Neurospora crassa OR74A: one gene and its partners. The protein of the gene in region 1 interacts with the protein of each later gene in a biochemical or structural test. Links are inferred from orthologs where the notes say so. Each region holds a gene or a part of one and is shown on either strand. Other genes may lie near its edges.

What was found.
Region 2: the proteins of cpc-3 (region 1) and NCU05803 form a complex in vitro, tested with the Saccharomyces cerevisiae proteins (3 studies listed by BioGRID). The link is inferred for Neurospora crassa OR74A from reciprocal best matches to the Saccharomyces cerevisiae genes GCN2 and GCN1.
Region 3: of the proteins of cpc-3 (region 1) and NCU06099, one has a biochemical effect on the other in vitro, tested with the Saccharomyces cerevisiae proteins (3 studies listed by BioGRID). The link is inferred for Neurospora crassa OR74A from reciprocal best matches to the Saccharomyces cerevisiae genes GCN2 and YGR054W.

The regions. Positions count from the first base shown.
Region 1 is NC_026505.1:3,166,219-3,173,618, forward strand, and holds the start of cpc-3 (cpc-3 protein), read left to right. Parts: upstream 1-2,887; 5' UTR 2,888-2,958; intron 2,959-3,026; 5' UTR 3,027-3,513; coding exon 3,514-3,735; intron 3,736-3,792; coding exon 3,793-5,934; intron 5,935-5,991; coding exon 5,992-6,327; intron 6,328-6,376; coding exon 6,377-7,376; intron 7,377-7,400. Other genes in the region: NCU01186 (hypothetical protein), read right to left, coding at 1-2,162, 2,235-2,304. UniProt on the Saccharomyces cerevisiae protein: Metabolic-stress sensing protein kinase that phosphorylates the alpha subunit of eukaryotic translation initiation factor 2 (eIF-2-alpha/SUI2) on 'Ser-52' in response to low amino acid, carbon, or purine availability.
Region 2 is NC_026507.1:3,881,890-3,888,396, reverse strand, and holds part of NCU05803 (translational activator GCN1), read right to left. Parts: coding exon 1-6,507. UniProt on the Saccharomyces cerevisiae protein: Ribosome collision sensor that activates a translation quality control pathway when a ribosome has stalled during translation. Directly binds to the ribosome and acts as a sentinel for colliding ribosomes.
Region 3 is NC_026507.1:1,795,099-1,802,601, reverse strand, and holds NCU06099 (hypothetical protein), read left to right. Parts: upstream 1-2,818; 5' UTR 2,819-3,575; coding exon 3,576-4,160; intron 4,161-4,225; coding exon 4,226-5,671; 3' UTR 5,672-6,660; downstream 6,661-7,503. Other genes in the region: NCU06098 (hypothetical protein), read right to left, coding at 1-142, 633-808, 879-897, 997-1,032; NCU06101 (hypothetical protein), read left to right, coding at 7,298-7,364, 7,450-7,503. UniProt on the Saccharomyces cerevisiae protein: Functions in the early steps of protein synthesis of a small number of specific mRNAs. Acts by directing the binding of methionyl-tRNAi to 40S ribosomal subunits.

The DNA of each region.
Region 1 (7,400 bases):
CTCCTTATTCCTGTCGCCCAGACCCCTCTCCCTTTCGGCTCTTTTGCGCTGCAATCGAGCAATGGCTGCTGCCCGGCGGTCTGCGGGAAGTGTTGTGGATGCGGACGTCTTCGGAGGGGGTGTTATGCTACCGACGTTCCAGACAGAGCTGCTGTCAATGTCAAACCCTTCCAAACGCGCAATGTTTGAATGCGGCACCACATCTGGTTTGAAGGGCTCAAGATCCGGCACCTTGAAGGAGTGAGAAGTGGGAGCCTTGAATGGCTCGAGCTCGGGCACTTCGTTGGAGAGAGGCCGGGCGATACGCGTCATCCTCGTGGTTGGCAATTGAGAGCCAGCGTTAGCAGCCGCTGTTGCCGTCGCCTTAGTGCTCGTCCATGGCTTGTTCAGCTTCTTGCCTAGAATGTCCTCCAAGCTGGACTTTGTGCGGAGAGTCCTGGCAGCGGCAGATGAGCCGGCTGTCGTGGTAGTCCCTGCTGTTGTCCTATGCGAGGTGGCTGCCCGCTCAGGCTGGCTGGTCGTCCACGAAGGTGCTTGTTGCTTCGCGGCTTCACCGAATCCTAGAGGCTTTTTGCCCATGTCTGCCTCTACCTTCTCTCGAAACGCACGAGAAGAAACCAACGCATCGTCCTCGTAGCTGTACCGCTTGATGTCGCCCGTAATGGTCCTGATTCTTTTCTGGGCTCCGGCAGCTGGTGCGGGAGCCAAAAGCCCTCGTTGGATGCTTGTTTTCCTGAGAGCATCTAGCTCCTTGAACAGCAATGTGCTCTCCTCCTCGGCCGATTCCAGGAACTTGAGTGCTTCTTCTCGGTCATTTGCCTCCTTGACCTTGTCGTGGCTCGCTTTCAATTTCGCCTCCAGGTTCTTCATCCGCGCCGCCCACTTGGACTCGATCGTCTCTGCCTTGAGGGTTGCAATCTCCTGCTGAAGTTCGGATATTTTGTCGTTCTTCTTTTCCAAAACTTCCCTCGCTTCGACATATCGGGATTTGGCGTCCTCCTTCAACTTGTTATAATCTGCCCTGAGTTTTTGAAGTTCATTGTCCTTTACCAGATTCTCATTCTTGGATTCGGCCAGCCGTTTCTCCAAGTCCTTGACCTTGAAATTGCTCAGCACCACCTCACTGTTGAGTTTCTTATTCTCCTCGGCGAGTGCGGTGGCTCGTTGCTCGGCGAATTTTAGCTCAGTCTTCATTCGGCCCCGCTCGTCCCGAAGCTTTCCAAGTTCCCTAACCTGTGACCTAGCCTTCCTAAGCTCTCGCTGGGCCTCCAAAAGTGTCCGATGAGTTCTTGGCGATGCAATCCGTCGTTTGTATGAAGCATGGCTCCCGGCCTGATAGTCATTATGATCCTCTTCATCTTCGCGCAGTATCTCTTCCAATTCCTCGACCTGGGCCCTGTACTCTTGCGCCAAAGCCTTTTGCCGATTAAGCTCTTCTATCAAGCCGTTGTTGGGCTCGACACCACCTCGCTTCGAATAGACATTGACGTGGCGCGTCATCTCGGCAATTTGCTCCTCCATTTGCTGGACCCTCTCCTGTTCCTCCTTGAGCTTCTTGTTCAAGTCGACGGCCTCGGCATCTTTCAGTTTGGCGTAGGACTTTGCGAGCTGCTTGTATCTAACCAGCTTCTCCATTTCCGCCCTCGCATCCGCGTGATACTTTTCGAACTCGGCCTTCCAGTACCTTCCAGAACGCGAGTGTGGTTCGTTGAGATCGACTGTGGCATCTGTGATATCTGTTTCGAGATCCGAGTCGTCATAATACTCGACATCATCTTCATCCCATGCATCTTCGGCCGAAAACGTCTTGACACCAGTATCTGCGGTTTGCGGCCTGGTCCGTGAATTTTCGAGAATTTCGGTCAATCGGGTCTTTGGTTTCGAGGCCTGACCGTCAGTGCCAAGGCCGCCCGTCGCGGTCAAATCCAGGGCCGATCCCGCCTTAACGCCATGACCAAAGGAAACGCGTTTGCGACGGGCTGCGCCGACGCCTGGAGTCAAGAGAATGCCGTTCGGTTTCGTCGGTGATCGATGAGGACCGGGCATAGGGGCGGTTTTCTTCGAATCTTTGGCGGGTGTGCCGAACAAGGCAGTCTTCAAGGCGCGCACAGCGAAGACCGGCGCTGGAGTATCGGGGACATCGAGCTGGTTGGTAGATTCATCTGGGCCAAATGGTCAGACTCAACAATGAGGAATAAATGCGCTGAGGCTCCTGCAATGGCCTGCAACCGTACCGGCATCGGGTGCGCCCTGTGCATTTTGCGCAGTCGAGTTATTGTTTCGCCGCAACGCCCAACTAATCATTGTGTCGGTCGGCGATGGATGAAGAAGCTGAAGCGAGGTCTAGCGCAGCATACTCTGGGCGGTCGGCGATGGGGGAAATAGGCCCCTCGAATACGATTCGCGCGATAAGGTGGGAGAATTGGTTGATGGTGGTGATGGAGGTTGTAGAGGTAAGAATGGGATCGGATTCGCGGGCTGCAGTTGTGTGTCGCAGCTGAGTCGAGAGCAATGGGAGTGGAAGAACTAATCCTGTTTGATGGGCGAGTGGGTGATTTGTTTACTCTTTCCCTGAACAGGACAGACGGGAGCCAATGAGAATCGGGATGAGAAGTGGAGGACGAACGGGATGGATGAAGCTGACCTGATGGCTCGTCCCGCCATCCATCCGTTCAGCGTCCTGTCAGTGTGGTCCAGTGCCATTCAGTTCCAAGCAAACAGACGGGAGCGCGGCAAAGATCTCAATTCAGGTTCAGATTCCCAAGTGGGACCTACTGCAGGGTCTCCACTTGTGCCTCTATCATGTATTCTTTGCTCCGACCCCACTTGCAAGTGTTCGCCACGGTCCATCCATCCCTCGGCCGGTGAACCTTGAGAACCTGGAACCCGCTACCCAGCTACCTACATACCTAGCCTAGGCACCTGCTGTGAAGATAAGTACACTACATATGTCGTGAGGTAGGTAGTACTGGACTGCCCGTACCCGCTCACAGCGGTGGGAACTTCCTAGTTAACAAAGTACTTAGTTTATCGGGACTCGCTGGGGGAACCTTATCAGCCAGGCTCGAGCTGAACAGCGGAATGGATGCTGTTGTCGTGGACTCGGGCTCTGGACCATCCTGTTGTTGGGGACCTTCACGGGTCTTCATTTCCATTCCAAGTCACAGTTGGAGTCATCCAACGAGTCACCCACTCACTTGTCCACTTCACCCATCTTACATCCATCCATCTCCTCTGCTCCCACTCACTTTTGGAAACGCGACCGTTGACCACGTCACTTCGTTTCCACCCAACCTTCACCCTTGCCCTTCCACCTTGTCTTCCCTTTCCCGCATCTGAACCCAGTCTACCACGAGAAAAGATGGGCTCCGCTCAGTGAAGTCTCGCAGCCATCTCGGCTGTGTCCGTTGCATAAGGCCTAATATACCAGACCAACCCCCTTTCCACAACGACTAACAAGACTCACTGATTAATAACAAGCATCTCTGCCCAGCAGAACCGGGTCTCGCAATAATGGCGTGGAAGAAACCTGCCGGCAAGAAGAAGCCTGCCCAACAACAAACCCCCAAGAAGAACAATGAAGGCAACACCACTTTCCCGGGGCTCAAGGCCCCGGGGCAAACCCCACCAGCAAAGACTCATTATCAGGAAGTCCAGGAGAGTGAAGTCATGGTGCTGCAGGCCATCTATGGAGAGGACTTCACCCAACATGAAGCAGCACACGGGGCATGGCAGGTAAGATCTATCTTATCTCTTCTCTTCCCACAATGTTGTTCACTGACAGACGTCCAGAAATCGGAACCCCGTTTTGACATCAAGATTAAACCTTCATCTGACCAAGAGCTTTCAGTGACACTGGGCGTGGTCATGGTGGCAACTTACCCAAAGACACCTCCACTGCTGACCATCAAGGATGACCACAGTCTCCGAGAGTCGACCAAGTTCAAGATTCAAAAGTTTGTGGAGACACAACCAAAGATCTATGCGCAAGCGGAACAGGAGATGATAGACCAGATTGTCGAAGGGATCCGCGATATCCTGGAGGAAGCCGCTCAGAAAAAGGTCCAGGGGCTGGAGATCCCCTCCTTGGAAGAGGAGAGGGCAGCCCACGAAGCAGAGCTGGCAAGGTTAGCGCAGAGCGAAAAGGAGCGAGAGGAACGGAAGAAGCTCGAAGAGAGCAAGGAGGAAGAAAGAGTCCTCGAAGACATGCTCCAGGAAGAGCTCAAGCGCCAGCGAAATAAAGCAAAAGAATCCAGAAAGAAGAACAGGAGCCATCAATTATCCCCTGACCGTGCTCCGCAAGATCCCGGCGAGACTGACGAGACGCTCATGTTTGATCAGCCCTGCAAGATCACTGATGGCTCTGGTAATGCCTTGTTCTTCCAAACCGTCATTGGCAAAACTGTCTTTCGCGAAGGTCCCATCACCACCGTCTACAAGGTCAAACCAGTCCTGTCCGCCAGAACAGTGCGCCCTAGCCTAGCCTTGAAGCAAGTAGAAGTCAAGTCACACGGAAAGGATTCGGCTCAGTTCAAGAAGCAGCTGCAGTATCTAGAGTCGCAGATGGAAACACTGAAAAAGCTTCGCCATCAGAATCTGCTTCCCTTCCTTGACTTCAGGATCGATCGAGGCATCAGCGACACCGATTCTTCTGCGCCGACCATCTGGACCGTCAGCATTCTGACGCCCCTCGCCACCAAGGGGCCCATTGAAGAGCTTCTCGATCTAGCGGGCCATATTGACACCAACAAGGCAAAGATATGGACGGCCGACCTTCTGGAAGCACTTGCATTCCTACACAACAACGGAATCATTCATCAAGACCTTCACCCAGCCAACATTCTCCTCTACAGAAACGAGGCGGGGGATATAGTGCCTAAAATCACTGATTCTTTTTATCAGAGGGAGCTTCACAACCTCTGTACAAAGATAAAGACGCTGACATCCTCAAAAGCCGCCAAATCCGCATACTGGTTTCCGCCCGAAATTGCAGGTGTAACGAAGCCTCAATACACTCAAAAGACCGATGTCTGGGACTTTGGCATCGTCTTTCTTCAGATGATCTTCGGTTTGGATGTTGTCGAAAAGTATCATTCGCCTTCCGCACTGATGGATTCTCTTTCCTTGTCGGCTCCGCTGGAAGAACTGGTCTCCAAGTTCTTCAAGTCCGACCCCAAGAAGCGGCCGCGGGCTTTTGAGTTGAGCTCAAGCGAATTCCTTGCTACCAATGCGCCCATTATCGATGACGAGGACATTGCTGTGCCGGGTTCCCTGATGCCCATGCCGCAAATGACCCCGCAGAGGATGAGGCACGACTCGATGAGTCGCGGACCCATGTCTTCCAGATACCGACAGGACTATGTGGAAGAGGCTCGTCTTGGAAAAGGAGGGTTCGGAGAGGTTGTCCGAGCCCGCAAGATGATTGACGGACACCTATACGCCATCAAAAAAATCACACAAAGGTCTCAAGAGACACTTTCAGAGATCCTAAAGGAAGTCCGACTGCTTTCCCAGATGAACCATCCGGCTGTTGTCAGATACTACAATACATGGCTGGAGGAGGTGCCGGACTACGCGGACACAGAAGGCGATACTTCAACCGAAGGCGGCGCTACAGACGTTACAGACAACTCTCAGGTCACGATATCCCACGGCATAAATATTGAATTTGCCGAGAGCAAAAGCAGAGGTCTAGATTTCATGTCCTCCAGTGGGCACCCGGGCATTGAGTACGACTACAGCTCGAGTGAAGAAGAGGATGACGACGAAGATGAAGACGATGAAGAGGATGAATCCGACAATGACTCAAATGACGATGCTGCCACTGTAAGCGGCAAGAACCACCTTGGTGTCACAGGACGGCGTCCTCGACGGGGAAGTGCTCGCCCATACAAGACCGTGATGTATATTTCCATGGAGTATTGCGAGAAGCGGGTAGGTTCCCATTATGCCAAAACCAAAATCCGAATGGCAACACTGACAGTTCTATAGACACTGCGCGACTTGATTTCTCGGAATCTGTCTAAGGAAACAGCTGAGATCTGGCGCTTATTCCGCCAAATTCTAGAAGGGCTCTGCCACATTCACAGCCTCAACATCGTTCACCGTGACCTCAAGCCCGAGAATATCTTCATCTCTTCTGGACCTGACGGCCTGGATAATGTAAAGATCGGCGATTTTGGGCTGGCCACTAGCGGACAGTTGGCGATAGACAGGTCAACAGCAAGCTTGGATGCAAGCGACATGACCAGGAGCATTGGCACAGCAGTTTATGTCGCCCCTGAGGTCCGGACGGGTGGCAGCGGCTCTTATACATCAAAGGTGGATGTAGGTTTTTCCCATCCTCCTTGCAAGACTAGACTGACATCATCCCTAGATGTATTCCTTGGGCGTGATTTTCTTCGAGATGTCGTACCCTCCCATGCTTGGAATGCAGCGCGCCATGGTCCTTGAGCAGCTGCGCCAATCCCCTCCCATTTTGCCCGCTGACTTCAAACATATGGATAAAAACCATCTCGAGGTCCTGTTGTCACTGCTGACTCACAACCCTAAAGAGCGCCCTTCGAGCTCAGAGCTTATGAAGAGTGGCAAGCTTCCGATTCAGATGGAAAGCGAGGCGATACGGCGTGCGATTGCTGGATTGTCGGATCCCAACTCACCTTACTACCAAAAGATGCTCGAAACTTTATTCTCCAGGCCAATCGAACAAGCAAAGGATTACGCTTGGGACATGTCTTCATCTGGGCCATCACCCCAAGAACTCATGCGACAGTTCATCGTCAAGGACACCTTGATATCCATCTTCCGGCGACACGGTGCGGTTGAGGCTCCTACGGTCTGTCTGTATCCCAGCTCTTCGCATTATGGCCAAAACGCGGTCCATCTCCTCGACCAGAATGGTACGGTTCTTCAGTTGCCCTTCGATCTCATGATGGGCCATGCTCGCTCTCTCGCAAGGATCACGAACAGCCCCGTTGTTCAGAAGTCATACTCCTTTGGCAACATATTCCGTGATCGTCACGGCGGTGGTCAGCCTGATGTGTACGGAGAAGTCGACTTTGACATTGTCACTTCAGACGCCTTAGACCTTGCCTTGAAAGAGGCCGAGGTCATCAAAGTTCTGGATGAGATTGCGACTGCGTTCCCTACTGTGTCGTCTACTCCCATCTGCTTCCAGCTGGGGCATTCGGACCTCTTGAATCTTATCTTTGAGTACTGCGGCGTGGAAGTGGGCACACGCAGGGCTGCTGCTGAGGTCCTCAGTAAGCTCAACATTCGCAATTTCACTTGGCAAAAGGTGCGTGGAGAGCTTAGATCACCCATGGTGGGTATATCGGCAACCAGCGTAGACGAGCTGCAGAGATTTGACTTCAGAGGTAAGTGTGACTTTACACCACGAA
Region 2 (6,507 bases), on another chromosome or scaffold:
AACAACTTGGCGTAGGTGATGGTCATGGTGTCGTCGCGCTCGTCCGCCTCGGTATCAATAAGACCGAGGACGGCGGTGCGAGAGCCCTCGCCCATGTTGGCGCCGGCCTTGCTGATGACCTCGTACAGGGCCTTGAGCATGGCCGTCTTGACGCCGGCGTCGGAAGTCTTGGAGCCCGTCACCAGCTCGGCGATCAAAGGATCCACGCGGGGAGTAAACTTGATAAGAGTACCCAAAGCCTTGGCGGCACGACTGCGGAGCACGTCGCTGGATGTGTCTGCGAGCGACTTGGCAAAAGTGCGCTGCAGCTGCGGCAGGAAGGGCTTGAGCGCCGTAGGCATCTTCTCAAGCAAGTTGTTAAGGGTAAGCAGAATGGCGGACTTGACCTCGGTAGAACGTTCGGAAACGACACGAATGAGCGGACCGGTAATCTGCGTGACAAACGGCTTGAGCGAGGCCTCGCTGGTCCTGTCGACAATGTCCGAGATGGCAAGGGCCGAAGCCACTCTCTGATCTGCCGAGCCGTTCATAAGACCCTGCAGGAAAATCGGGAGAATGGCGTTGATACCCTTGGGCAGCTCGAAGCCGCGCAGGTTGACGCCGGCAACGCCAACCTGGAGGAGGGTCTGGCGAGTAGAGATGACCAAGTTCTCCATGTCTTCCTTCCTAAGCTTCTTGGTGAACTCGCTAAGCGCGCTCCAGGCAGACTTGACCACGTCCATGTCCCTATCATCGAACGAGAGCAGGAGAGAGCGGATGATATCCTGGTTGTAGCGCGAGTAGTCCACATCGGCCGAAGCAAAGAACTTGGACAGGTGGAACGCGGTAGACGCTCTTCTGCGGTGATCGTCGTGCTTGAGAAGCTGCAGCAAGGTCTGCATAACCATGTTGAGACCGTCGTACTCGTCGATGGACAGGATGACAGTGTCGAACGACTCGTCAAGCTCCTCGCGGAGAGTATCGTCAGTGCAGTTGATAATGTTATCCATAAGCGAGTTGATGATGCTGGGCAGACGACGGTTCATAGCCGCGCCGGCAACCTTGGACAACGAAGCCAACGCCTTGGCGTTGAAGGAAGAAATAGGAGGCTTGATAAGGCTGGGGATGAGGTTGGGCAGTATCATGTTGGAGCGAGTAGTCTCGGTGAGCAAGGTGAGCAGAGCCGCAAGAGCATTCTCAGCCTCCTCCTCATTAGCGAGAAGGGTGAGAAGGAAGGGCATAACCTCTTCGACAGCACGCTTGCCGAGAATCTGCTGCAAGGAATCGAAGGCCTCGGCGGCGGCTTCTCTGACATCTTCGTCGCGGTCGGTAAGCGCGGTACGCACAACCGAGATGAGCGTCTTCTCGTGATCCTCGAGGGCCTCGGGAGAGGCAGAAGCGATGAGCTCCTTGAGGGCAAGGCAAATACCCTGTCTGGCATCGACATCGCTCGAGGTCTGGAGACCTTCCTCGAGAGTGGGCAAGAGTGTCGCCAGAACGCCGTCGCCAGCCTTCCTTATCAGCTCGCCCAAAGCATTGCTGGCAATGATCTTGTGCTCCATGTTAGAGCTGCCGAGACGGCGGATAATGAGCTGAGTGAGAGTGGGCACAAGCTCCTTAAGAATGCGAGGACTGTGGACAAGAGCCTTCCACACGCTGACAGCAGCGGAGCGGACGGCACCCGAGGTATCGCAACGGCAGATGTAGAGCGAGGACAGGACCTTGTTGCGCTTTTCCTCTCCGAGAATCTCACGGAGAGAAGCACCGGCTTCCTTGACAGTCTCGATATCCTCTTCCTCATCTTCACCATCAGTGACCTTGACACCGGTAAGGTTGAACAACAAATCACCAACGAGCTCGACGGAGCTGAGACGGATACGGTAGCTGTCATCAGCAAGACCACGCTCAAGCTCGGGCAGCAAGAGATCGACAGCTCTAACGGCAAAGTTCTTAACCAACAGACGACCAGCACGGAGGGCAGTCTCTCTAATCGACTCGGCATCATCAGCAAGACCAGACAAGATAGGAGGAATGATCTTGGCCAAGTAGTTGGCGAAGCTGTTTCCGAAGCAGACGGGCAAGAAGATGAAGAGCGACATGAAACCCTCGCGAACAGCAGGCTTGGAGGATTCGACGTTCTGCAGGATGGTAGGCAGAGTCTCCTCGAGTCTGGAAGTACCCAGACCAGCGAGGACCTCGGAAAGGGCCTGTGCGGAACCAAGTCTGTCTCCGGCGCCAGTGTCGGACTTGAGGGTCTGCATAAGACCCGGAATGAGGTCCGGCAAAGCATCTTCGCCCAACTTCTCGACCAAAGATCCGAGGGCTCTAGAGGCAGTAGCGCGAGTAGTCGGCACGGGGTCGACGATGGCAATCTTAAGACCGGCAACGAGAACAGGCAAGTGAGCGACAAGATCCTTGCGCTCTGTGAGATGGGCAAGACTGCCAATGACCTGCGCAGCCTTGCGCTTGGTGTTGGAACGATCGCCGAGACCGCGCTGTAGGATACGGCTGACGAGAGCCAGCGAGGGGGCATCAAGGTAATGGACGAACTGAACCTTGATGAGGGCGTCCAAGGCTTCGTCGGTGTACTTGGTAGGGTCACTGAGAGCCTTGAGCAGGATGTCGACAAGGCTGTGAATTTCGGGGTTCTCGATAACCTCGCCGAACCTCTTCAAGCTCTTGTTGGCGGCAAGTCTGACCTCCTTGTGACTGTCGTTCAAGACGGCGGTAAGGGGAGGAATGATCTCCGGCAGACTCTGAGCCAGCTGCTGGGGATCAAGGTAGGCCATGGCACCGAGCAAGTCGCAAGCACCCTTCTTGGATCTCCACTGGTCCTCGTCAAGACCATCGAGAAGGGTAGGGAGAATCTTCTTGACACCGAAAGAGCTGAGCTTGGCAAAGCAAGACTTGGCAGCATGCAACGCGGCTTCACGGACATTCGGGTTGCTATCACCGAAGCCAGCGAGCAGTTGCGGAACGATCTGAATGACGTAGGGTTCAAAGAGTCTGCCGAGGATGGTGGACAGAAGCTCCAGAGCAATCATGGCAGACTCGCGCTGGTTGACCTCCTTCTTGTTCTCGAGGGCACTTCTGAGAGTGATCAAGATGCGGTGCTCCTTAAGCGACTTAACACCACGGCCAAGGATAAGACCAGCAAGACCGTAGGCGGCACCACGCTGGACAGCGTAATCCTTGGAAGTCATCAAAGTCTCAATGACCTGCTCGATATACTTGCTGGACTTGTCTCCGCAGGTGCGGACAAGTGGTGGGAGACATTCGGCGATAGCATACTGGACAGTCTCAGAAGGGGTGCTCAGGGTGGCAATCAACCTGTCAATAACCACAGGGATCTTGGCATCGCCGTGCTTGAGATGGCGGGCCAGCGCACCGTACATAATGATGACAGCCTCGTTGACACGATCCGCGAAAGCAGTGCCCTTGTCGGGAGCCTCAAGGGTCTTCTCGAAAGTCTTCATGAGCTTGTCCAGGATGGACTTGCCGTGAATCTCGATGGCAGTGTTGGCAGCCTCCAACATCTGGGCTCTGACGTTACCGTTCTGGTCACCCAAGGGGCCGTTGTCAATGAGGAAGGCAAAGAAAGGCTCGAGCTGGTTCTTCTGGAGCAATGGTGCAATACCCTGGAAGGCAAGGGCAAGGCCTTGTCTCGCTTCCCAGGGGTCAGAAAGGTCCTTCTTCTTGGGCATGCCAAACTCATCAAGCTCGGGAAGACGAGGTTTGGCGAGCTCAGTGTAGGACTCCCTCAGCTTCTCAAGGATGGGGTTGACGGCAGAGAGGTTTTGCCCGAGTGCCTCAGCAAGGCCCTTGGCAGCGGCACGGCGAAGCTGGCCATCCTTGCTTTCCAAGTAGGGCAGCATCTTGAAGGCAAGTTCCTCGGTGACCTGGAATTCGCTCTCCTCCCAGATATCACGACCAAGGTCAGCGTTCTCCGGGACATCGTCGTGGCAAGCAAGCCAGATCTCTTCCGAGGTGGAGAGCTCGCTCATGTCAACATCAGAACTGATGGCTTGTAGAGCCGCAGTGCGAACGGCGACCTGAGGCACAATGGCACCGCGGGAAAGGACGGCAATCTCCTCAGCAGAAATGTTGGGAGCGATGCAGCGGACCATGTCGGAGAAGCAGTCCTTGATGATCTTGTAGTGCTGGTTGTAGTTCTGCATCGAGGTGATCAACGTGGAAAGAATCTCAGCGCGTGGGGTGGCCTCGTCAGCATAGACATCGGTGTGGAAGGAAAGGAACTCGATGGCCAGGACGAGCGTGGCATCCTTGTCATCGGCATTAGAACCGAAGCCACCCTTCTCGAGGACGAGGAGGATGAGCGGGAGCATGTAGATGAGTGAGATGACATCGAACGGGCGCTGCTCACCGGCGAACCTGAGACGATAGAGAGCACGAGTGATAAGATCGTCAAAAGGTTCCTCGGTAAGGTTCTCAGGCAGCGCGGAAACATTGTGCGCCCTGAGGGTAGCGACACCAATGAAGGGGCGGATAGGGCCAACACGAGACGTGACGCACTCTGAGCAGGAGATGAAAGCCAGAGGACCGGCCTCACCGGTGATGAGAGTTGCACCAGCATCGATGACACTAAGGGTAGCCTTGACCGCGGGACCCATCCAGCGGCTGGCATCAGTGGGAGGACCAGTAGCGAGAGCCTTGACAATGCCAAAGCCACGCAAGAGGTTGGCCGCGACGTGCCTAACGCTCTCGCGGATCTCCGCTTCCTTCTTGAGCTGGGCATTGACTTTGGCGTTTTCTTCCGCTGTAAGCTTCTTTTGCACTCCCTTCTTCTGAGCAATCTGCTCACGAAGCTCCTCCTCCCACTTCAGGGTATGGTAGTTGGGATCATTCTTGTTAGGAACGACGTTCTGTTTCTTGGCCAGCACATCGACGAAGGCGGTTCCTTCAGGCGTACGGAAGATGGCCGCCTCGAGAGGGCCAACGGACTGGACCTCGGAAACCTTGAGGTTTTGTTGAATGAGGTCAACAATGCGAGGAGTCATGGTCTCAGGGGCGACGAAGACAAGCTCAGCAGCAGCATTGTATGCCGCCAGTCTCACCGCCTCGGATTTTTGCTCGTAGAGTGTCCTGTTGACGATCTCATCAAGCAAACGCTGCTCGTACTTCCTGGCAAGCTCACCAGGATCGGTTTCCACCTTCAAGCAGAGATCGATCCAGCTCGCTCTGGGGATGAGCTGTGACTTGGCAAGGACAAGCAGAGAGCACATTTGGGATTCGAGCTTGGTCTTGTCAGGCTCCGCACCAGCACGCTTCTGGTACTCCTCGGGCTTCAAGCAGATAGCCTTGAGGACGAGGTGGAGGTTGGAGGTTCCGGTCTTGGCCAAAGCCGCCGCACTTTCCTTGTCAGCTGCCTCGGTCGCCTCAATCCAGTGCCAAAGACCTTCGACAATGGTTTCGGCGAGGAGAGCTGATGGCCCCTCGGCCTTGGCGGAGGACTGAGCATAGAGGGTGGAAAGAGCGTCAATGGCGTCGCGGCGGACATCGGGGCCAGTAGCAGCCGAGCTAATAACGTAGATGAAAGCCTGAGCCCAGGCAACCCTCTCCGGGAGACCGACACCGTTGAGGAAAGGTGCAACAGCAGTCAAGGCGCTGGTCAGCCACTTGAGATCCTCATCGGCAAACTTGCCGTATATCCTGGGGTTGAACAGGTAGGACGGCTTGGGATTAACGGCCAAACTGTTCTTTTGGATATTGGCCTTCTTGTAGACGGCCTCAAAGGTAGAGCTCTCCGCCCTCCGAATCAGCGACTCGACAGCGCAAAGAACAAGAGCGCCGGTAACAGTACCGTTCTGGGCAGCAGTCGCAGGGTTCGCGACGACCTCAGCAAAAGTAGTTCCCAGGGGAGTAACGACAGCCTCGGCGAACTTGATGAAGTTGGCTGGCAGAGTTTCTTGGCTCTCCTTGTTGAAGGCATAGAGAATATCACCAGCGCGAAGGATCCAAGTGCGTCTGACAGGCAGCTTCTTTTCGCCAAGCCCCTTGACGTAGGCATCAGCAAGAGGCTTGGGTATCTCCTCGCCGGCATTCAAAAGATAGACTGCGCTGGCGTTGAGAGCAACAGTCTCGGCGCTCAAGGCTGCCTCGTTTCCTTCCTTTCCTGTTACCAGAGGGAGGCCGTTGGCAATCTTGTTGGCAATACCCGTAGACACCACCAAGGCAACAAGCATCTCGGAGTGAAGCACTCTGTGGTCAGCAGAGGCGAGCTTCCCGGTCTTTAGTGGGTTGAGAACCTCATCAGCCACCTTTTCAAGAAGGGCAACGTCCTTGCTCCGGGCAGCGAGGCCCTTGAAAACGGTGACAGCGCCGCTACGAATGACGGCATTGGAAGATTTGACATTGTTGAGCAGGGGCTTTACAAACTTTCCGTGCAGGGCAGCGGAAAGATCAAAGTCTTGTGGCAGGGCGCCGACAAGAGGAGTGATGAGGTCGTTGAGCACCACCTCAGGGGCTCTGAGCAGACCCTTCTCCAACGACGGGAAGACCTCCTTGTCG
Region 3 (7,503 bases), on another chromosome or scaffold:
CAGAATCATTGGGAGGAGAGCTGCCGGGGGACCGCAGGAGGCCAAGAGGCGTCATTGCACAGCAGCGCCTTCTCCCCGATGCACGAGAGGACTCCATTACGACTTTGGTGTGTCTGGGGAGCGTGGGATGTGAATACGTCAACTGCTTGACGGCTTCAGTAGAGTGTAGTTAAGTTGCAATGCTGCAGGTCGGTATCAGCTGAACAAGTTTCAAGTGAAGGTTTGGAATTGTGGCGGGGTGACGAGGAGGAAGATGCAAGCAAAGGCGGTCGATGGAAAGCTGGCGCAAACGTGGCAAAGGCGGATGCCTGGAGGTGAAGGGATGGTTTCCCTCAAGCTGCAGTCACCTAGGGATCGGTTCCGGGCGACTTTGCAAGGTCCGTCAAAAACCCCGTGCCGAACCGCCGGCGCGCTGACAGAGGACGCGGGTGACACAACTGCTTGTATATTTGTTTCCTCCCGCCTCAGATACCGTGTCTGGCTGTCACCGCTGGACCTCCGCTGCGGGCCGTAAGCTGTAAGTCGAAGTTACCTGACCGGAAATTTTGACAACGTATTGCCTTGTTTCGATTTTCGGCCTGTTCGACCTTTTGCATGATTTGAACCCGTCCTCGGCTCGGACGTAAACCTACCAAGAACAACGATATCCAGGCGGAGATGTTTATGAAACCGTGCTGTCTGCTGACAACCCTCCAAAGTGAAGATGGGGCATCAAGATGCTCGATATTCACTCCTCGAATGCGCAGTCCCAAGTTCGCACTGAACGAAAGTCCAATGGTAGCTATAAGGAATACCGAGAACAGATAACCTGTGGCCGGCCAAGTCAATAATTTGTCCATTGAAACTCTAACATGGCGACGAAGGAGGCCCGGACATACCTGGGCCAATGGAGTACGTCTAAGTGATGTTTTCTGGAAGAAAATGGAGAATGATGTTGCTGAGACGAGCTGCGTACAGTATTCGTCATAGCCCCAGCAGCGAAGGCTTCTTACTTACTTGATGGAAGAACCGCAAATGGAAGTTGCACCTCATGACCTAGAGGTATCCCAAACCCAAATGCGGCTCTCCATGCAACGAGGAAGGTGCGGTTGGGACATCGGCACCGAGACAGTTTAGCCCTCCATACCTTGGTACCTCTACCTCTATCCCTGCCTACCTACCTCTACTTACATCGAAGTACAGCAATCTGCACTTGCCTGCAGCAAATCGACAGCTCTTCCCGTTCTTCCCATGCTTGGCATCAATCCTCCGTGTTAGGGATGCAGTGTTCATGCCGTTCAGTCAGTCCTCATCCGGACTCCATCGACGGTCACCATACAGGCAGCCGCAACTTTCACTTGATAGAGGAAACCGGAAACTGTCCGTTTTGTCATGTATCCATCAACATTGAAGTTATGGCGTGCATAAAACACCTGGACTATTTTACCCAGCAATTGCTCATGCCCGGATTGCTTCAGCGAGAGTGTGTTGGTGTGCTTTGACTGAAGCTGGAAACAACTGCCGTGTGTTATATGGGGAAACAGCATTATAGAGGGATAGAAACATGAAAGGAAAAAAAAAAAAAAAAAAAAAAAAAAAAAAAAAAAAAAAAAAAAAAAAAAAAAAAAAAAAAAAAGGGCCCGTTGTTTACGGGGGGCAAGCGGAAAACATGGAAAGCAAACAACATGGACCGCGTGGTAGGATCGTTTGTAGTGAGTGTATAGTACCTCGCGAAGAGACGAAAAGGACCGTACTGTGGCTCTCCTGGTATCATAGGATGTGTATCACAATTGCTTGGACGTCTGAACCTAGAGGTAGTAGAATAGACCTAGGTACCTAACATGAAGGACAGCACCAGCCATCAAGAAGGGTATCACTACCTTTACCCACAGATCCTCCATTTGGCAGGGCATGCGGAAGTGATGGCGCGTGTATTCTGAAAATGTTCTCCAGGAACGACCAAGCTGGAGTTCGGTAGTTTCACTTGGGTGTAACTTTCGTGCCATAGAGCATCGAGTAAAGTGGTGCCGAAACCTCACCTGAATGGAACAGGTCATAAAAATGGATAACCTCAGGTCTGTTAGGATGGCAAGTTGAGCAGAGAACGCAGTGGTGGACGTCGCCCCCGGTCCGATGTCTCTTGTCCTGAGCGTCGTCGGGGTCCTATGTCGTTGACGTTGACGTTGACGAAAAGGCAAATCGGGCAGGGGCCTTGGCCGTAACTTGGCGCGCCGCTGACTGGCCCTTGCCGCGGCTCGAACAAGGGACAACAAAGCCTAGAACACCGGGGGCCGCAACCTGTTGGGGGTGTTGGAGATCGGCTGGCCGCCGTGATAGGGCCCGTTAACATCTGATAGGCTCGCCCTGGTCCCTACGGGGCTTACGGGTACGGTCACTAACGTCTGTCACCGAATGTCACCGAGACTCTGAAGGGAACACGGCCCCACGGCGGGGCTCCGCTGTTCAATGTTCGGTCCCCTCGAGGTCCTCCGCTGCCAATCTAGAATAGAGGTCCGTGTGGCAGAGGTCTGAATCAGCGAACGGACAACCGCCGCGACCTCGAAATGCATAAAGCCTCCAAAAAAGTTAGAGATCGCCCAAACGGAAGGCGAACAACTCGTCCGCGCCGTCTTGCTGGACTATCTCTAGGTGTTTTTTTAAGTGTATATTCTACGGTCATATTGCCCATTAGTGCAGTCCTCGTCACATTGTTTAGCTCCCGTCTGCTGTTTGGTCGGGTGGCCAGTGCCCGTGCCAATGCCCAATTGAATATCGATGCTGCAGTGACATGTCGAAAGAAAAGGAAGAAAAAAAAAAAGAAAAAAAAAAGTGTAGGTAAGAGATATGGAAAAAAAACCAAAAAAACCGAAACCACGATACCTGTGGAACCGCGTCCGTATCGTAACTTTCTTCGCGTCCACCTTCTCTGCCATTCTCCATTGTCCTACTTTTCCTCCCTTTCTCCTAACCCACCTCTCCCCTCTTTTTTCCTCTCCCCCCCGTCAACCACACTCGCACCGCCTTTGCCAATTCCTTCCCTGAGGGTGCTTCTCTTCATCGTTCACGTTCCTGAATTCGGTCGATTTTTATTCTTCTTGGATCTCCACCACGGCGTGTGCCCTTTGTTCCTCGCCGCCGTCCAAAGCAACATCGCATTGTTGTCCCATCGTCACGGTCTCCCTTCGTTGGCAACCTGCGATTCAAGATCTGATATCTTCCGCCTCCCGCCCCCCCGTCCCTGAGTCGCTTTCCACCACCACCTAGGACTCAGCAAGAAAAAGCGTCGCTTTGTGTTGCACTGTCGAATTCTGCTCTGCTTCTGCCAGTCGAGTTTCTACCTTTGCGCAATCACCATTGTTGTGTTGCGCCAGATCGATACTCCCCCAACTCCGCCTTCGCCAACACACAACCAAAGCTTACGAGCTCCGCCTCTCGCAGCTTCGACACCAAGCGTGACCCGTTTCGAACACCGAAAAAAAAAGGTCCGCCTCTTGCTCGCAGCGACGACTCCAGTCCCCCGGGAAAAGGAGCCAGGTAACGAAACGAATCCCACACCGCTTTCTGCAAACCGCGATCACCTGTGACTTTCGCTAGTCATGGCCAATCCGTTGCAGCTCGCCTACCGAACCCAGAAGGCCATCGGCGTCTTTGATGCCGACCCTGTCTACGAAGCCCTTCCTGGATTCACCAAGCCCGAAGGGAATCTCCGGTGCTGTGTCTACTCGGGATGCGGCCGCTACTTTGCCTACGCCACTAACGAGGGCGTCGTCATCGTCGACGCGTCCGTCGGCCACGTCTTGACTTCGCTGCCCATCCCTGCCGTCTACGAACTCAGCTTCTCCCCCCACGGTACCTACTTGAGCACCTGGGAGCGCCCCGCCAAGGATGAGAATGGCGATGCTACCAAGAATCTCAAGATCTGGCGCACCATTGAGGAGCTCGCTGATGGTGCTGAGAAGCAGCCCATTGGCAAGTTCGTCCAAAAGTCTGCTAATGGCTGGAACCTGCAGTACACGGAGGATGAGCGCTTCTGCGCGCGCATCGTCACCAACGAGGTCCAGTTCTACAACAGCAACGATCTCGGCACCGTGTGGAACAAGCTGCGCGTTGAGGGCGTCTCCGACTTTGCCCTCGCGCCCGGTAAGAACCAGAACGTTGCTGTTTTCGTCCCAGAGCGCAAGGTACGTTACCTGATCTCCCGTATGCATCGCACTTTTCTATATCAACGTCTAACTGTTGGTTACAGGGACATCCCGCCTCCGTCAAGGTCTTCAACGTTCCCCAGTTCACCAGCCCGATTTCGCAAAAGACCTTTTTCAAGGCCGACAAAGTCCAGCTCAAGTGGAACCAGCTCGGAACTGCTCTGATTGTGCTGGCGCAAACAGAGGTTGACAAGTCCAACAAAAGCTACTACGGCGAGACCAACATGTACCTCCTGAGCGCCAACGGCTCGTTCGACGCTCGCGTCACTCTTGACAAGGAGGGCCCTATCCACGATGTGTCGTGGTCCCCCAACTCCAAGGAGTTCGGTGTCGTATACGGCTACATGCCCGCGAAAACCACCATCTTCAACCACCGTGCCGTCGCCACCCACTCCTTCCCTCTTGGCCCCCGTAACACCATCATCTTCTCGCCTACTGGCCGGTTTGCCTTGGTTGCCGGTTTCGGTAACTTGGCTGGTCAGATCGATGTTTACGACCTTGAGAAGGATTATCGCAAGATCACCACCATCGAAAGCGGTAACCCCAGTGTCTGCACCTGGTCTCCCGACAGCCGTTACATCTTGACGGCCACTACTTCTCCCCGTCTTCGTGTTGACAACGGCATCAAGCTCTGGCACGTTGGTGGCGGTATCATGTACAACGAGGACATGGTTGAGTTGTACAACGTTATCTGGCGCCCTGTTCCTGCTAACAACCTTCCCAACGTTGACCCGCTGCACCCCGTGCCCACTCCTCACCCTTCGGCTTTGGCATACCTTGGCACTGTCAAGACGCCTTCCAAGCCCGTCGGTGCCTACCGCCCGCCCGGCGCCCGTGGCTCTTCCACTCCTCTTCACTTCAAGCGTGAGGACGAGGGAGGTGCCGCCCACTCGGTTAGCAATGGCGTGCCTCAGGTCGGTCCTAATGGGTTCGGCCGCCCGCGCCGCCAGATTCCTGGCGCCGAGTTTGCCGAGCCAGCGAGACCTTCTGTTCCCGGCGCCGCTGTGGACGATGAGAACTTGTCCAAGACTGCCTTGAAGAACAAGAAGAAGCGCAACAAGAAGGCCAAGGAGGGCCAGGCACAGGGCGAGGGCGCGACTACTCCTAACGAGGGTGGTCTTGCCCCTCCCCGCGAGTCTGTCGACGGCCGCAGCCCCGATCGCAACCACCAGCGTCACCACTCGCGCAGCCAGTCGCGCAGCAACAACCTGGCTGTCCGTACTCAGAACAACCACCGCAGCCGCTCGAACGTGCGCCAGGCCAATGCCCCTGCTCAACAGGCTGCCCCAGTCGTTGACGCCGCCGCAGCGGCTGCCCAGAGCGCCAATGCGAAGAAGATCAGGTCTCTTCAGAAGAAGATCCGCGCTATTGAGGATCTCGAGATGAGACATGCTGGTGGTGAGAAGTTGGAGGATACCCAGTTGAAGAAGATCGCCACCAAGGGCTCTGTGATTAAGGAGCTGGAGGCCCTGGAAAAGGAGGGTCATTAAATCAAAAAGGTCATGCGTCGGGGGTTGAGAAGCTTGTGAGACGGATGGAAGTAGAGTAGTGGTTATCAAGTTGGGTAGTTGAGAGTTGACTTGTGGGACTCGAAAATTCTTGTTTTGCTACGTTTCCCCAGCCAGTTGTCCGGCATATGTGAGCTTCTTTGTAAGTAGTATGCGGCGGTTATGACGATGATGTTGCTAAGAACGTATCGCTGGGGTCTCTCTGTTCCGAGTTAAGCTACGCTGGCAGTCGAACTTATGTCGGTGTGGTGCATCATGTTTTTTTTTGGGCATGCGATGAGAGGGAGAAAGTCCGACGCAGCAGGAATTCACCTTGAACATGTTTCACTTTCACCAAAGGGAAGGCGTTGAAGGAGTGGTTAGAAAAAAAAAGTATATATCGGCAAAATGAAGTTATGGCAGCCTTCAGTTACGTTGTGTCCGTGATAAGCGGTGATAAGTAATGAACCGAAGCCTTCGTCAGTCTCTAACAACCCCAAAGCGTCGTGGAACAGCTTGTGACACATGTGCCATGGACATTCCATTTGAAGGCTCGACATGGTCGCCCGTCGAAGTGGTCATACGAGTCAAAGGGCACCCAAATCCGACAGTCCGCCGGTTGCATCTCGCGATGCCATGTGCACGAGCGCAACGGGTATGGATGTTCGGACCTCGACACCACAGTACGAGTAAGTGATCAAGACAAGTACATTCATGAGAACATCAGCTCATTGAGTTTTCAACATGGGCGCGTCAGCGACAAAAAGAGCGCGACAGATCAAGGTGCGCAGGTAAATCGATGGCAGATACTCTCAGATAACAAAAGAGTTTTGCGAAGTGGGTGGAAATGTCCCAGGCAAAATATTTCTCTACTCCTCGACAGAGAAGAACAAAGGTAGAGGGTAAGAGCTTGAAAAATTCTCTTCTATCCTCCACTTTCCCCTCCAGAATGTCATTGCAGTAGACGGAAACCGGAGTGAATATGAAGGAACATATGTTTTATGTGTTGTGAAGAGAAAAAAAGAAAGAAAAAGAGGAATCCCAAAATTGGGCGGCCCGAGACAGACTTTTAAAGCAAACGCAAGCCACTCCAGTAGCTGCCGGGCTGCACCGCCTCACAGGCTACGAAACGCAAGAATTGGTGGAACTTAGCCACTGACCTCGTAGCTTGCAGTGGAGTTATGGTGCGATAAGAGATCTGACCAATCATGGCTTGTAGATAGGCGGTTGGGTAAGCCTGCGTTGCAGCCAGTGTTGCAGTGAGCAAGTGAACAGTTTACCGAGACCTCTAACGTTCAGGGTGTACATACTGTACGTCGGGTACCTGCCTTATACTGTAGAGGGATGTGTTGCGGGGCATTGATTCTCAAGTCGGAGGTGGATGTCTTCCCACCCAGAAAGCCCCATTAACTTTCTGCGACAAACTCGAGTAAAAAAGGCTGTGCCGTTCTGTCGCATTGTTGTAAGACTCATCGAGCTCGACTTCCTTTTTGGTAGTTACACCCATTTCTACGATTCGTCGCGCGATTCGAACAAATTTCTTGAATACCCACGACACTCGACCGGAAATCCGTCGATAACCAACTTTTCAACCAAAACCATCCTATACCGCCAAAGATCAAAGACAAAATGGCAGGCGGTAGTGGCCCGGCTGGTCGTGGACGTGGCGGCAAGTTCAAGAAGTACACTCGTGGAGGTATGTTAATAACACAGATGCTGCCGGAGCAGTACTCTCCCTACCTGCTACAATCCTGTCTGTTAACCACCAACCTTCCTTCCAGGTGGCCACCATTTCTCTCGCGACCTTCGCCCCCTCGACGCCGATGGCAACGAAG